2 linked regions of the Struthio camelus genome follow. Each later gene encodes a partner of the first gene's protein in a complex. Links are inferred from orthologs where the notes say so. Each region holds a gene or a part of one and is shown in the gene's direction. Other genes may lie near its edges.

Region 1 (7,940 bases):
CACTCCTACAGCTCTGGCTGATTTTCTGAGCATCAACTGAGTTAACTAATAGGAAGAGATGAGCAGGGGAAAGTGAAAGGGAGAAAGACAGAGGGAGGTTCAGCCTTTCCCACTCTGCCCTGGAGGTAGTAGTGGCTGGCATGGTCACCTGGTGCAGGCACAACCTCCTACTCAGAGAGCTAATTCACCCTTCTCTTATCACAGCACTTTTATGTTTAAAAAATTAATCATGTATGAACGAAGATGCCAAAAGCTAGGACACACAGGTGGGAAAGGAGGCGGGAGGAGTGAGGTTTTATGTGGAAAATTTGAGTTCTTTTCTCTCACTTGAGCTATGTCACTTGTTTTCATGCTGATTCTTGCTTCTGCCGGCCATCAGGAAAAGCAAACACACAATTCTAAGCCTGAAGCAAAGAGGATTAAGATTGGATATAATTAGCACATAACTGGCATGTGATTCTTACCTCCAGAAAATGAATCTTCTTTCTTCCCTTTGCAGTAAAGGTAAGGAGAAGGCTTTCCAGGAGCTTGTGCTCTTTGGGGAGAAATTAGTGCCCATCCCACATAATCTGCTAAGATCTTCCCAAAAGAAATAACCAGAATAATGTTAAAGTGACTTTTACTTATGCCCATAAAGTGGCATCGACAGTGTGGTGTGTATCAGAGCAGAAGCTGAATGGAAGTTGGGGTGGTATTAGCTGATCCCCGTTCCCTCCCCGGAGCGGTGTATCAGCTGCTGACAGTACTGTGCTGTTGCCAAGCCATGCTTTAATCGCTGGGCAGCCAAATTACTGTGAAAGGTGATCAACTGATAGTGCTTCACCAGAGAAGGAGCTATAAATAATCATTAGTAAACAGTAATTAGAGACACTTTAGGATCAGGTAGTTTTTTTTTTTTTGTTAGGTAAGACCTGGACTATAGATCTCTGAGGATCACTACAATTTTCCCCTTTAGAGAGGCACTAAAAATTCTCCACCAGGTCGCTGTCCGGCCACTCTCCGTTTGCTGGTGTCCCCTCTGGGAGCCCTTTCTGCCGTTCGCTCTGGAAAAGCAAGGAACCGTAGCAAACCTCCAGCTAGGGGCCTTGACTAGACGAAACGTAAGGAAGAAGGTGAAGAGCTTTGACCTGCTTGGACAGTTTTACCGTTGCTCCCGAGACGCGGCCCTGTGCCTTACCACTAGCGATCCCGGCCGCGCTGCCAGGGTGCTGCAGGGCCGGGCCCGGTCGGGGAAGGACAGCGGGGAGCCGAGGTGGCCACCGCCGTCCCGATGACGGTGACCGAGGCCATCCGCAGCCCAGCGGCTGCCGGAGGAGCCCGCAGCAGTGGGGCAGGCCCGCGGGGGAGCCGGGCAGCCCAGGCCGCGCCATGCCGGTGGCCCCGCATGGGCCTGGCTGCCGCCACACGGCACGGGAATAATTATTCCATCTACCTTCCTGCCCTCCTTTTTTTCCCCTTCCTTCCCCTTGCTGGCCTTTGAGGCGGATAAGACATAACGTTTCCCAAGAGCTGCGCTCAGGCGGGCAGCTAGGGTTTCGGGATGCGCAGAGGCAGGAGGACTTTGTTTCCCTGGCAACTGCGACCGCAGGAAAGCTCTTACCGCATCTCCTCCCTTTACGCCGGGGTGCTATAATTGTAGCCTGTGGTCAACCAGGTAGCAAAAATAACTATGGAACGACCTGAAAAAAGGATTTGATAGCCTGCTCCGCTTAACTCGTCTTGCCTCCCTCCCCATCTCTAGAATAAAAAGCGACCTTTGCGCACGATCCCCCGTCAAAATACCCAGCGTCACAGTTCGTGGCTGAACTTCAAGGTTTGCCCTGTTCTGGCAATTTGACTTAAGCCTTGAAAGATGCCGTGGTCTTTCGGGGAACAGCACTGGGGACCAAGCAGCTTCCGCGCAGCAGCGGCAGTGCGCGGGCACGGGAAGGGTACAGGGGGCCCCGCTGCAGCACCCCGCGCGGCTGCCGCACAGCACCGTGCCAGTGATTCAGTGCGTTTCGTTCGTAGCTCTGAGTCAGGGCTGGAGTAATGTCCCAGGGCATTGCTAAGGTTTTGAAGCACTGTGCTGATGGAGGAACAGCTTTTTAGCTTAGACATTGGTAATGAAGAGAAAAAAAAAAAGTCGAAGCCCTTCCCACCTGATATTTTAAAATATCCTACATCTCCCTCCCGCCATGTTCCCTATTCAATCAGGGAATTTCACTAGGCATGCAGAAGGAAGCACTTTATAGCACTTCTACCTAAATGTAGCAATATTACGTAGCTGACCTGTGAATGTGGAAGGGATTCTCGGGAAAAAAACGGTATGGTTGTGTGAATGCACTTGCATTGTTCTGCCTTAGCTATAGGACCGCTGAATGTGGTATTTCTTTACCTTTGAGGGCTAGAATTTACAACATAAGGAATGTTCCTTAAATACAGAATCTGATATGGAATTTTATTTTTTTAATGGGAAAAAACGTCCAGGCAAAGTCCAGTGAGGTGAACTCTGAATCTCCAGTATTGCCATGAAAAAATCTGGGGGCATGTGAGTCCCAGATCTGCAAAATCAGTGTTGCAGCAAAGTTGTAGCTGAGTGGCTGAGATACTGTGCTCTTATGCTGTCTTTTTTCCCAAAATCGTTCCTTGTCTTCTTTTGAAAGAACAGGATCTGCTGTCTCACATGATCCCTCAGAGGAGAGAAGAACTTCTGGGAGAGTACTGGTGTGTGGACAAACTGGGCTATGTTGACTGCAGACCTTTTCTTTCTCTTCCCTCATGAGTTCAGGACACTCCTGTCCTCCACCCCAGGACTATCAGAAAGGATATAACGGCGCTGAATGATTATCTGTTGAAGAAAATGAAGAAGATGGGTAAGCATGATTCTTTGTCCTGGGTTTTTCTTTTGATACTACTGCAAGCATTTCTAGTACGTATGCTGAGCCCAGTCACTACTGGTAACCCAGTTATATCAATTTTCCTCAAGAATGCAAACATAAATAAGCGAAAGATTATTTTTGTCAGTTTATATGAATTTCACTTGACTTTCAAAGGAAAAGGCACTTCTCTAGACCAAGGGCTCCTTCCTCTTGAATTGCAAAGGCCTAAAATAAATGATAGCTGGAGCTGAGCCTCTCACATGGAGGATACAGAGACAGAAAGCACAAGGAAACATATATTGTCTTTGGCTTGCCCTGTAATTTGCAGTGTCCTGGCCAAAGTCCACCTTATTCCACGCCCATTTATTTGCAACACACCCTTACTCCACTAAGGGGCAGCGATTGTGCTGTTAACACATCGTTTTAGATGCGATCACTGAAGAGTTTCAGTGCAGAGTTTAGCAAGAGAAAGCTAAAGGTCAGAACTATACTGTCCAACTTCAAAAAGCTTTGAGTCTACTGTTGTGCTTGAAAAAGCTTTGACTCTACTGTTAATTAATCATACTAAGTTTTTCAGGCCATCTCCAGTTTAGATTTATGCATAGCAGTAATAGACTTTTCTTCCCCATATGGATGTTTCTGATCCACCTGTAGCAACTGGAGAATTGCAGACTGCTGCTGCTGCTTTCTCCCTCTCCAGAATAACCCGTAAAATCCATTTCATTGATTAAATAGCTATATTGCAGCTGTGTATGGTTGCACTTAAGGTACTTCCCGAAACAAAATAATTGCTCATAAGAAATGGATTATCAATGAAGGCTAAAAATATTGCTATCTTATGGCTCTCCGGTATATTTTAATTCCAGAATATGAAGAAGTCCAGGGAAAATGTTATAAAGAAGATAGCAATTGCCAAATTGTTCCACGTATGAGATGAAGTAGCAGTAATAATTCCTTTCAGTACTTTTGCAGAGGCCAATGGATTGCAAGGGAAAAAAAAAACAGGACAGGGATCTGTCCATTTTGTGTTAGGGTCTTGTTTTGTTTTCCAAGAAACTTTTATTTTCTTAGGTCTATGTTCAATCCTTAAAATGTATTTGGCTTAGGAATGCTTTTGTTGTATGTTTGCTGTCTTGCACTTGTTGACAACCTCAGCAAAGGTTAAACTTTTAAACAGCTCTGTACAGACGGTAGTAAGCAGATGCTGTAACATACAAGTCTGTTCTGGACAAAGCAGTGGCCAGACTCAGAGCCACCACCACCTTTAATCTTGAGCGTCTGCCTCAAAAAGAAAGGATCTGGATATTTTAAGTTTTCTTCATGACTTTCAGCTCTGCAATAGACATTGCAGTTTCCTTTTTCTCATCTTGATTATAGGCTTCGAAAGAAAAAAATGTTTTAAAAATAGAAACTTCAGCCTGATCACAGAGGCTCTACAAAAGGAACATGAAGTAAAGTTTCTACATAAAATAAGGATGAAGGATACCCACAACATCTTCTCTGGCCTTCTGAACTTCACTAAAATACACAGAAATGCCTGGCAGTCTGCTCTGGCCTGCAGAGACCTGATTTCTGCAGTGTGTTTTGACATGCAGCCAGTCTGGCTATATCCCACCTCTTCTAGGGGAGTGGAAACTACTTAGGTCCTTTCTCACCTCTCCAATTTGGCATTTAGAGGGAGTTCTACTGGGAATTTCAAGGCCCGCATGTGAACGAAGAGGTTCTGTACACAGATTGGGATGCCAGCCCCTGCGTGATGGGCTATTAGCCCGTGAGCTATGTGAGCTATATAGCTCTGAAGGGTTTGATTTCTGCACACGCTGACCCTCCATCCCCAGCCACAGTTGGTGTACAGAGACAGCAGATCTCTGATGGTGGAGTTTCTTGTGTGGTGCAAAATGGGATTCTTGGCTTCCAAAACAGTACAAGACAGTTTGAATTAACTACGGGCAGCAACTGGGGTTCCTTCAGCTGTTCCTGGCTCTCTCTCTCTCCTTTAGTAGCCACCTTCTGACATCCTTCCAGGTTGTAAGTGTGAAGGAGCACAGCACAGCTACCCAACTAGAAGTGGTCTGAGTATGCAATTATGAAGCTGAGTCACAAAAGAGCTGATGGACCAGCCAAGGAATCTAAACGGAAAATTCCTGTTTTATTCAGCATCTACTAGTCCACAAATCATGAGGGATTCAGAAAGGTAGGAGGGAACATTGCTTGAGGCCTAGGATGCAAGGGGAATGAGGAAAGGCAATTTGGAAAGTGTATACAAATTATGCATTCATTTATTGTAGAACTTATTTCTTGCTTTTCTTTTAATTTGTCTGCCTCTCAGTGTTTAGACAGAAGTCATGTGAGCTTCTGAGCTGCAAGCATGGAGACAGAGTAGAAATGTGTGCATTAGTGCAGAGTGCTGCTGGAGCCCTAGCAGAGTAAGAGAGAGGCAGAGAGAGAGAGTGTGAGAGTGAAAAGGGGTAGTGGTGGGAGCTGGAACAGCAGCAACTGCTGCTACCACATCGCAGCTTGTGCCTGGGAATCAGCTCCATTGCCAGCACATTCCTCCGTCTCCAGAGGTGCAGATGCCGCCGGTTCAAAAGTCCTAGAAGATCCCTGGCACTGCCAGGAGCTAAGCAGGTGCTTTTTCTGCTGCAAAGAACATCTGTCTGGGGACTTTGCTCCTTTGCTGGACTGAAAGAGGTATTTTATGTCATTAATGTGTGTCTTTTCTGAAAGCAGGTGTGGGATCTGAAAGAAAATAACTCAGGGAAGGATGTCAAAGCAGATATGGAGAAAGGTGGTGGGTTTTCCTCTCTCTTCTCCTATTTAGGAGAGCTAATGCAGTAAGGAGCCCCAGTCATTAGGATACTGTTTGACTAAAAATATGGAGGATGGGAGAGAGAGGGTTAAAGCGCGGGGGTGGATTGAAGCTGTTTCCCATCTGCACGATATCTCTTCTAATTGTTTCTCTGTGTAATCTCTGAAAGTGGAGGAAAACTTTCCTTGTGCATCTGAAGGAGCAGAAGTTACCAAATATATATCAAGATTTGAAACTTGTATTTATTTACTCCAAATATGGTTTGCTCAAATCTCTGCCTGGCAAACTACAGTTCCTGCCACAACAGAACCCTCCTTAATATATACAGATTTTTAGTGTCTTAATGTCCAGTGGCTGTGATATCACTTCTATTTCATTCCCTCTTTTCTGTCTTTCTAGTGTACTTGCCTTCTGCTGTCTGCACTCTTGTCCCAGCCTCTCTCCTGCCCGTGGGGCCGTGGCCGTATGGATGCCCCCGTGCAGATTTTCCGGGAGGAGCCAGGCTCCACCTGCTCCCCCGGGTCCTGTCGCTCCCCCAGCACCAGCAGCAGCTGGCTCCTGGGCTGGGAGGACTATGAGAGCAACGCCACCGGGGCCTTTGGGGACGCCCAGCACAACCACACCAGCATCTCCCCCGCCATCCCCATTATCATCACTGCTGTCTACTCAGTAGTCTTCGTTGTTGGCTTGGTGGGAAACTCTCTGGTCATGTTTGTTATCATAAGGTAAGGGGAAACGGCTTTGGAGCCGCAGTTGAAAGAAATGCACATGATAGTCCTGAAATTTGTTGGGGGGGAGGGGAGGGGAAATAGTTGTGGCCCAAGAAAGCTTTCTGGGAGTGCATAAATGAGGAGCTGGTAAAAAGTAACTGGAATGAGCTCAGATGTTTTCACTCGGAGTAGTTTGTCTGGAAGTGCAATTAGAAACAGAAGGGAGAAGCTGGTTAAAAGTGATAAATCCTGCAGCCTGCAGGAAATGTGCTATGTGCCCTGGAGCTGTGTTCGTTAGGTGCCCTCTAGGGATGAGTCTGCGGTTGTCCAAGGGAAAGCTGGAGTGGAAGAAGAAAGCTTCCACTTCCAGCTGCAAGACAGCTTTTCCCTGCAAGGAGTCCTGTAGAGAGCAGGATGGTTTATGTATCTAGTCTTGGGAACGCTAATATATTGCTGCCTTGTCATCTAGCAAGATGAGAAAACTGTAAATGATAAAAACATGTGGAAATGCTCAGTGTAAAGCAAGGGATGTTATTGCTCTGTTTAGTATATTTAAACTCCAGTTGTTGCTGTTTGCTTGATAAAAGTAAAGTAGATGCTGAGAGAGGTCTATATTTCATGTTATTTCTCAAGAAATAGGAAGAAAGCTATGTATCTGCACTAGTAAATTTTTCACATTAAGCTACTTAGTGAAATCAGCCCTACTTGTACTTACATTTACACTTGTGTGTTCTTGTATATTTTAGTTTGCACTCTCTTTTTGTCCTTTCCAGTTGCAACTTATAAAAATGTTCTGGGTAGTGCAGATTAGCAGAGTGATAGTGAGCTACAAAGAAGACTGAAATCATTCAACTTTTTGGACTCCTGCTTCACATTCTATATAAAACTTGCAAAAAAATCTGAGAAAATAATTCTATAGATTGTTCATTGCTTAAATGAAACCAGCTTTTACACAAGAAGGAAACTGGAGGTATTGAAAGATATATTACGAGTTAAGCATGCATGGTAAGGGTCAAGCAACTGCAGCATGGTGAGATATCCTGTCAGACCTGATATAGCGGGATGCTAACTACACTGGAAACAAAGATCAGTTATACCCAGGGGAATGCTCTTGAAAAATGGAAATAAAATCCTCTTTAAAAATCAGTCTAATGAATAAAGGTGCCTGTGGTCAATGTGGAGGTTTGCTTTGGCTTTATGAGGCTGTAATTTTTATACTCTTCCATATTGCTTTACCCATTATACGGAGTAGAGATTTCATTTCTTTTTGTATATATTTTGCAAGAAAAGAGACTCCGTACTTGACACACTCTTATCCCAGCTGCAGAGGCAGAGTTTTTCTAAGCCATCTGTCATTAACAATGATAGTGTTAATTAACTGCTCCTGGGCGGTGGAAATAAATTCAAACTTAGTCAGAGCTCTGAAAGTTATCTCTCATGGATTATACAGTTTTTATGCATTTCCTTTTTCCTCTCCTTCTTTTACCATCCTAAGATTATTTTTGTGAGGGTCCAGCTAACTGTGGCTCCCTTTCCTACCAGTCCCTGCCTTAGGCCTTT
Region 2 (7,994 bases), on another chromosome or scaffold:
ACAATGCAAAGGGGGGGTGCTCGGGGGCTGTGCAATGCAAAGGGGGGGGTGCTCGGGGGCCGTGCAATGCAAAGGGGGGTGTTCCGGACTGTGCAATGCAAAGGGGGGGGTGCTCGGGGGCCGTGCAATGCAAAGGGGGGGTGCTCCGGGCTGTGCAATGCAAAGGGGGGGTGCTCGGGGGCCATGCAATGCAAAGGGGGGTGTTCCGGACTGTGCAATGCAAAGGGGGGGGTGCTCGGGGGCCGTGCAATGCAAAGGGGGAGTGCTCCGGGCTGTGCAATGCAAAGGGGGGTGCTCGGGGCTGTGCGGTGCAAAGAGGGGGGTGCTCAAGGGCCATGCCATGCAAAGGGGGTGCTCTGGAGCCGTGCAATGCAAAGGGGGTGCTCGGAGGCCATGTGGTGCAAAGGGGGGGGTGCTCTGGGACTGTGCCATGCTAAGGGGGGTGTTCTGGGCTGTGCAGTGCAAAGAAGGGGGGGTTCCTCCAGGATTGTGCAATGCAAAGGGGGGTGCTTGGGGGGCATGCCGTGCAAAGGGGGGGGTGTGCTCCAGGGCTGTGCAATGCAAAAGAGGGTTCTCCGGGGCCGTGCTGTGCAAAGGAGGGTGCACCAGGGCAGTGTAGTGCAAAGGGGGGGTGCTCTGGGCCATGCAGTGCAAAGGGGGCATGTACTGGGGCTGTGCAGTGCAAAAGAGGAGTACACTGGGGCCGTGCAGCGTAAAAGGAGGGCACACCGGGGTATTACAGCGCATGGCGGGGGGCAGGTGCCCCAGGGAGGCGGTGCAGTTTTGATCAGTGCACTAAGGAGGGGGGGTGTTGGTGCCCTGGAGAGGGGGGTGCAGTGTAAGGGAGTGGGAAGCTGTGCCGTGGTGGTGCATTGTAGGGGGTGCACTGGGAGCCTGTTCAGTTGCGGGGGGGTGTCAATGCACTGGCAGGGTGACCATGCAGTGCTAAGGGCTGGGATCGGTGCACTGGAGGCGGTGCAAGGAGGTGGTCAGTGCGCAGGGGAGAGGGGAAGCAGTGCAAGGGGATGCTGGATGCACCAGGGGGAGCGTGCAGTGCAGGGGGGGTCTGCGCATTGCAAAGGGGGGTCAGTGGAGCAGAGGGGGCTGTGCGTGCAGCAGGCTGTGCAGTGCACGGGGATCGGTGCAGTGCAAGGGGAGGTGCAGTTGTGGGGGGACATGTAGTGCAAGGAGGGGGTGCAGCAGCTTGTGCAGTGCAAAGGGGCTTCTGCAGCTTAGCCAGGTGCTGCGGGGCCCCAGCCCTGGTGAAGCCCCCTCCCCAGACCCAGCTCCCTGGGGTATTGCTGCAGGCGATTTCCAGCAAAAGCCCCCCTAGAAAGTCACTGAAACGCTGGGGCTGAAGCCTCGCTGCCCTCGGGGGCCAGAGGTTTTAGGGAAGCTAAAAACCGGGTGAGGACGAGCACTGTCCCCAGGGGTCCCCGCGCCCGGCTGGAGCCCTCTTGCCCTGCTCTCTCCCGCCATCCAGGGGCTTCCCGAGCGTGCGGTCGTGCTGGCCGGCCGGTCCCGGCGGTGGGGCCATGCCGTGGCTCCGCTCCGCGTTACTCCCGCTCCGCCTGGCCGTTTCCACCTCCAGGCACCCCCCGGCTCGAGCAGCGTGCGGTGGTGGGTTCATTTACCCCGTGCACGTGCGCATCGCGCACCGCCGGGACCGGGGCTCCACCATGCCACCCAGCCCGCCGGCGCTTGGCTGTGCCGCGCCGGGAGAAACGGCGATGGCGCCCCGTCGCAGCAAGCACCGCGGCGGGGCCGGGACCGGCCGGGGCGCCTCGTCCCGGGGAGCAGCGCGTGGGCGTCGCGGCCCCTCTCCGGCAGCCCCCGCGGCCACGCGCAGCCCCGCGTGCGCGGTGCGAGCAGCAGCGCTAAGCCGGTGCCGCGGCCTTGGCCCGCTTGCCGGCAGCGCGCCGCTCCGGGGGGGCTGCTTGTACAGAAGGACGCACGTCTGTTCCCGCAGGGTCGTTTTCCTGCCACGAAAACCGCCTGTTTTGTTCCAGCTGTTTTTTTCCGAGCCTCTTCTCTGCCCGCTTTGCCTCGCTCGGCGCAGGTGACGTTAGAGGCACTTTGCAGGCGGTCAAGGAGAGCGTCTGCAGAGCGAGTTTACGGAGGAGCTCTGCAAATCGCTCTTTGCTTGACTCACTTGCCAGGCCCGTGTTGAGAGCACGCGCCAGGCAGCAGCCGCGGCCCCTCCGCGCTGCCCAGAGCATCGCGCTGCCGGCGCGGAGACCCTGCGCCGGCCGGGCCCCGCGCGGCCGCCCGGTCCCTGCCGCCAGGCTGGCGCAGGAGGGGAAACGAGGTGCCCTGAGCGGCGGCGCGTGCATGCCAGGAAAAGCCTCTCCTCCGCCTAACATTCGGAAAATAAACTTTCTTATCTCATTCTCTCCCTGCAAGGCGACCTGTATTATCCCCGCGGATTGCCAGGGAGCGCTCGGCTTTGGGTCTCGTCCCAAAGCCGTTTGCACGGAAGACGCTGCCTGGTGCCGCCGGCAGCCGGCCGGGGTGCAGCCGAGAGCCTGGGCTGGGGCGCGCTGGCGGGGAGCGCAGCGGCCGCGCGGCTGGCTGCCTGCCCGCGCGCAGCGAGCGGGGCTGCCGGCGATCCTCTGCAAGTTTTTAAAGCTCGATTTGCTTTTCAGTGGAGCCACTTCACCGCCTGGGCTGGGAGGAGAGGGGGTCCTCGGCCGGGGGCAGCCCCGCGCGTTGCTGCGCGACGCCCGTTGTTTGCTCGGGCGCCGCTTTCTGCAACGGCGTCGAGTGGCCACTTGTGCTCGCTGCCCGTGTCTTTGTGCGCCCCGGTCGCGCCGCCGCGTGCCCACGCGCGTGCCCCTGGGCTGCGCGGCCGCCGGCAGGCAGGAGCCGAGCTCCCCCCGCGGCGCCCAGCCCGCTCCCCGCGGGGGCGATGCTGGGGAGCGGGCATCGCCCCGCGCGCCGGCTCTCCCGGGAGCGCGGTTCGCGCCTGGCCGCCTCCTCCCTGGGGCAGCCCGCGCAGCCTGCGGCCGTTTCAGGGCCACGAGGGTGAGCAAGCGATTTAATACCAGCCCTTTCTGGAAAAACGCCGTACGCCTGAATAGCGGGGAGCTGACCGGGCGCGATGGGAATTGCTCCACGCACCGCAGGCGGGCTGCTTCCCGCGGGCACTGCCTGCCGGGGCACCGGACCGCGCTCGCAGCGGCGCCGGGTCGCGCACCCGCTGCTCGGGGCGGCCAGCGAGCTCGCCCCTCCGAAACATGGGTGCAGGCTGGCTGGGGAGTTCCTTCCCTTCCCCTCTCCCTCCTGCTGGCTCCCACCTTGCCCGCGCTGGACGATGCTCTGCAGACGCCGGCAGGGCCAACGGAGCCGCTCTCCGCTCCGAGGCCAATGCGGGCCTCGAGGGCCGGGCTGCCGGGGGCTGCCGGGGGCTGCCGGGGGCTGCCGGGGGCTGCCGGGGCTCCGGGCACAGCCGGCCCCGCCGTGACAGGCGCTGCGTGACGGTGTCTGCCATTAACTCCCACCTGCTTTTGCGCCCGCCTGGTACTTGCGCTAGTCCCCCTCCTCTCCTCATCAGCTTTTCACTGATGTAGTTAAGAAAACTTAACTTTTCTATTACTGCACATTTCTCTCTCACCCAGGTGCTTAATTACCATTGTCCCAGGGAAATGTCAGCGTGACTCAGAGACAGTTTCCCATTAGGAAGCGGCAGATGAATATTAATTAAACCGGCTGGTGGGTGGGCTCACTTGGAGCTCCTTTCCCGAGGGGACCCTGCCAGCACCCCACGCCTGCCGGGCCTCGGCCGAGGACCCTCTCGCCTGGTTCAGGGAACCTGCGGCACAAATAGAAACGAAGAAGATGCCTCTGCTGCAGGGACAGGAGCAATTCCACCTCCCTGCCTCCCTGCCCAAAGGAAATCGTCTCTTATTAAGGAGCCTTATTACGAACTACCCTTACCTCTGTGCCCGCGGGGTTTTGCTTGGTCTCCCGAAGTGCGTTTCCCCCCGGTGCAATTACCCCGCTGCGGGCGCTGTGCAGGACGGGCGCCGACGGGGAGAACCGGGGAGGCTGCGTTTCGGGGGGAAACGCACTTCGGGGGGGGGTAGCTGATAGAAACGGGGGTTTCCTGGGTATAAAAAGTACCCGCTCGGCGCCTGCAGCCTCTGCTCGGCTCCAGCCGCCCCTTGGCCTGGCGGCGAGGACCGACCCTCGCCGAGGGATGCGCGCAGCCCCGGCGCGTCCCGGCGCGGCCGGTTGCAGCGTCTCCGGCTTCGCTCTGCATCCTCGCAGCGCTGCAAAGAGCGAGCGGGGCGGGTTGGGGGGGTCCCGTGCGGCCCCCGCCCCGGGCCGGGCGCTCCGTCCCCGCTCCGCAGCGCGGCCGGGCGCCCGCAGAGGCGGGGGGGGGGGGAGCCGAGGCCGGACCCCCCCCCCATTCCCCACCCCGGCAGCGCCAGGGCCTCCGGGTCCCGGGCAACCGGCGATGGAGCCGGGTTGCTGGGAAACATCCCTCTTGAGCGCCGATAAAAATAGCCCCGGCTGCAAGGCGAGAGGCCGGGCTGGGCGGCCGGCAGCGGCCGCGGAGCCGCTCGGAGCCCCCGGGCGGCTCGCAGGGGACGGGACGGGACGGGACGGTGCTGCACCCTGCTGCCGGCCCGACGTGGGCTGGGGAGCGGGGCTCCGCGGAGCGGGACGGCGAGGGGCCGGCGCAGCCCGCAGCCGCCGGGCCCAGGTTCCCCCGCCAGGCTGCGGGAGGGGGCTCGGGGCGGTGGGGCAACGGGAGCGGCGCGGCGCCCGGCGGGGGCGAAGGCGCTGCCGTCGGCAGCGGGGCCCGGCCGCCCCGTCGGCCCGGCGCGGGGGCTGCGGCGAGGCGGCCGCGGGGCTGGTTCTCGCCAGCCTCCCGCGCCCCGATTGGCTCCGCGGCGCCGGGCTGCGCTGGGGCCCCGCGGCAGGAGGAGACTCCGCGGCCATAAAAGCGGGACGGGAGCGGCGAGTCCGGTGGGTACCCGGCGGCGTCGGTGGTGGCATCCGCGCTCGGCGCCACCGCCGCCGTCGACGCCTCGAGCGAGAGGGCGGCACGCGGGGCGGCGTGCGCCCGGCTCGGCCGACGGACGGCCAGCATCAGCGGCGGCGGCAGGTAGGGCCGCGGGTGCCCCGGGGCGGCGGGCTCGGGGGGCGCGGGTGGTGGCGTCGCCCCGGGTGCACGCACGCACGCACGCGTGGCACGGCACCGCGCGCCCTGACTCACCGCCTGCAGCTGGGGTATCGCTTCTGCTGTTTGCCGGAGTGACTCAGTTTGTTTAAAAACATCCCCGGGGCGCCGCGCCGGGAGCATCTCGCCGCCGGGGTTTTCTGTGCGCGAGCGAAGCCGGTGCTCCCGCGGCGCCGCAGGTGCTCGTTTCGTCCCTCGAGCTGCTCGGTAGCCGGCGAGCCTCCGTAAATAGCTCCGCGGCGGCTCGTCGGGGTGCCGTTGCTGCGTCTTTCTGCCCTTTCGGGGGGAGAACGCGTTAGCTGGAACGAGCCGGAGTCCGGAGCGAAACGAGAAGGGAGCAGCAGATAAGTGACGGGGAGGATGCTCCTGCCTTCCCGCACCGGCATCGTCGGGGTTTGCTGCGGTTTTGTTCAAAAAGTCATTGTCTGTTTCTGAGCAAACGTTGCCCTGAACGCGTTTGCAGGTTGCTCTTAAGGAGAAGAGAACGGCTGGAAGGCGACGTTCTTCCCTGGCAGAAATGCCTGTAGGGTCCCCAAACTGTCTCAGGGAGACCTCGGTGGGAGGGGACCGCCCGGGGGCGCGATGCGCGCTGGCTGTCGGCGCCAGCGCCGCTCCGGAGGGAGCGATCCCGGAGCCCTCGCGGGCAGCCCCGGCCGGTGCTGGTGGTGAGGACGGGTCTCCGTCCCCGTCGCTCCCCGCGGGGACGCGGAGCCCTGCCGGGCCGGGCCGCGCCGGCGCCGACGGAGCCTCGCCGCTGTCGTCTCTAGGAGCTGCTAAAGCCGTGCCGAAGCCTCTGCGGCCGGAGGGACCGCCGCGGGACGCGCGCCCGAGCGACGCTCGGCCTCCGGCTCCGTGCAGGTAACGTCGTGTCGCTCTCCAGCTCCCTTCGCCTTCCTCCTTCCTTTCTCCAGTTCTTTCCCCGCCCCCCTCTTTGTCTTAGACCTATTATTTTTTCTCCCCTTTTTCTTGTCCCATTTTTTCTTGCCCGTCTCCCCCCTCCCTCGTGGAGCAGGAGGGCGGCAGAGCTCGGCCGGACCAGGTACGTCCCTGGCGCAGCCCTCGGCCCCTCCGCGCCGGCAGAGCCGCGGCTCGCCGGGCTGACGGCATCCGAGAAGCCGGGGCGCCATCGGCAAATGCCGTCCGGCGGGCACGGATGCTCCCGGCCGCTCCGGCTGCCCCCTCCTCGTCCTGTTAATCTCGGTTTCCCGCGGCGTTGCAGCGGGCGCCTCCGCGGCCGGCCAGCCCTCGCTGGGGCATCGCTGCCCCGCGGCGGACGGCAGGGAGCTCGGGGCCGGGACGCCCACGCCTGGCCGTCCCCGCGGCGGCTGCCGGGCTGCGCTGCCCAGGAATACCACCTGCATGTCGCACACGGCGGTGCGGATAATTCCGATTACATTTTAATTCAGCATGAATTAGTACGGTGGCATTAACATTTCTTCATCAGCGCCAATTACAGTGCATTAGCAGATACAGCCGGAGAATACAACAGTCTCTAATATGCGTCACTGCCGTGCAATAGCTTCCTCCGGGTCGGGCCTTTGCACCCGAGGTGGCAACGGCGGCGGCGGCCGGCTCCCGCGGGGCCTGGCGGGAGCGCTCAGCTCCGGGGCCGCCGCGGCCGGCACCGGCCGCAGCCCCGTCCAGCCTGGCTGGGGGTGTTTTGGGAGCGCCGGCGGTGGAGGATGCTGCCGCGGTGGAGGATGCTCCGGGCCGCCGGGAGCGGGGCAGAGCGGCCGGCGGCGGGCGGGCGCCTGGCGCTGGGTCGCCCCGGTGCAGCCCCGGGTGTCCCGGGCCTCGGCTGGCGAGCGGCTCCGGAGCACCATGTTTTTCTTCTCCGAGGCCGAGGGGGAGCTGCTGATGCATCCTCGCCATGCCGCCCCGGACGCGGCGATGGCAGCAGCGCTCAGAAACGTGGTGCTAAAAAACCCAAAACAAATGGCACGCGAGAGGCGTTAGCGGAGAGGGGGCGGGGGGGCTCGCCAGCCTGCCGGGGCCCAGGTGTCCCGGTGTCCCCAGGAGCCCGGCTCGGGGCTGGGGCCGTGCAGCCCCAGCGGGGTTCGCCGGGCGGCGGTGGCAGCCACGGGCCGCACGTGCTGTCTCGCCCCCCAGGCAGCGCTGTGGGCGGCATGGAGCGGCAGGCGCTGGCGCTGGCTCTCTGCCTGGCGCTGGCGGCGGCGGCGGCGGCTACGGACTGTGCGACCCGGTGCTCTGCCTGCACCCCGGACTCGGCAGAGAGCATCTGGCCCCTGGTGAGTGCCGGCGCCAAGCAGCCGCTGGGCTGCAAAACAGCAGCGGGCGCCCGGCGGGCACGGTCGGGGCTGGGAGCGGGGGGCGTCCCCGGGGCAGCACCGACCCGACGGCGCCGGGCGCCCCGGCCGCTGTCTTGCAGATGTGTTTGCTGGAGTGCGCGGGCTCCTGGCCGCCCGGCGCCGCCTGGGAGGCGTGCAGCAGGGCGCTGGCGCTCCCGGCCCCGGCGGAGGCGGCGGGTGAGGACGAGGCGCTGCCGGAGCTCGGCCCCGGGGACCTGGCCAAGCACGGCGGCGGCGGGTTCCCGAAGCAGCTGGAGCCGGGCGAGCTCCTCTCCCTGCTGCGCCGGAGGGCCCCCGGCCCCGGCAGCACCACGTACGGTGACGGCGGCGGCGAGCGGGTGCAGGACTACCCCACGCCGGAGCCCGGGCCGGCGGGTGCCGGCGGCGAGGAGCCCCCGGGCAAACGCTATGGGGGCTTCCTGCGCACCTACCCCAAGCGGCGCTTGGAGGCGGCGGCCGCGGGCGCCGGGCAGGAGCTGGCCGAGCTGCACAAGCGC

What was found. Proteins that work in one complex are often made in the same cells at the same time.
Region 2: the proteins of OPRK1 (region 1) and PDYN are in contact, whole or in part, in a cryo-EM structure (PDB 8F7W), measured with the Homo sapiens proteins. The link is inferred for Struthio camelus from reciprocal best matches to the Homo sapiens genes OPRK1 and PDYN. Residues at the interface, in NP_000903.2 of Homo sapiens: Thr111, Gln115, Trp124, Val134, Ile135, Asp138, Tyr139, Met142, Lys200, Glu209, Cys210, Asp216, Tyr219, Lys227, Val230, Phe293, Ile294, Glu297, His304, Ala308, Leu309, Tyr312, Tyr313, Ile316, Tyr320; in NP_001177821.1 of Homo sapiens: Tyr207, Gly208, Gly209, Phe210, Leu211, Arg212, Arg213, Ile214.

What each region holds. Positions count from the first base shown.
Region 1 is NC_090943.1:137,947,087-137,955,026, forward strand, and holds the start of OPRK1 (kappa-type opioid receptor), read left to right. Parts: upstream 1-4,937; 5' UTR 4,938-5,552; intron 5,553-6,069; 5' UTR 6,070-6,135; coding exon 6,136-6,395; intron 6,396-7,940. UniProt on the Homo sapiens protein: G-protein coupled opioid receptor that functions as a receptor for endogenous alpha-neoendorphins and dynorphins, but has low affinity for beta-endorphins.
Region 2 is NC_090959.1:18,143,526-18,151,519, forward strand, and holds the start of PDYN (proenkephalin-B), read left to right. Parts: upstream 1-4,985; 5' UTR 4,986-5,113; intron 5,114-5,955; 5' UTR 5,956-6,046; intron 6,047-7,297; 5' UTR 7,298-7,314; coding exon 7,315-7,437; intron 7,438-7,577; coding exon 7,578-7,994.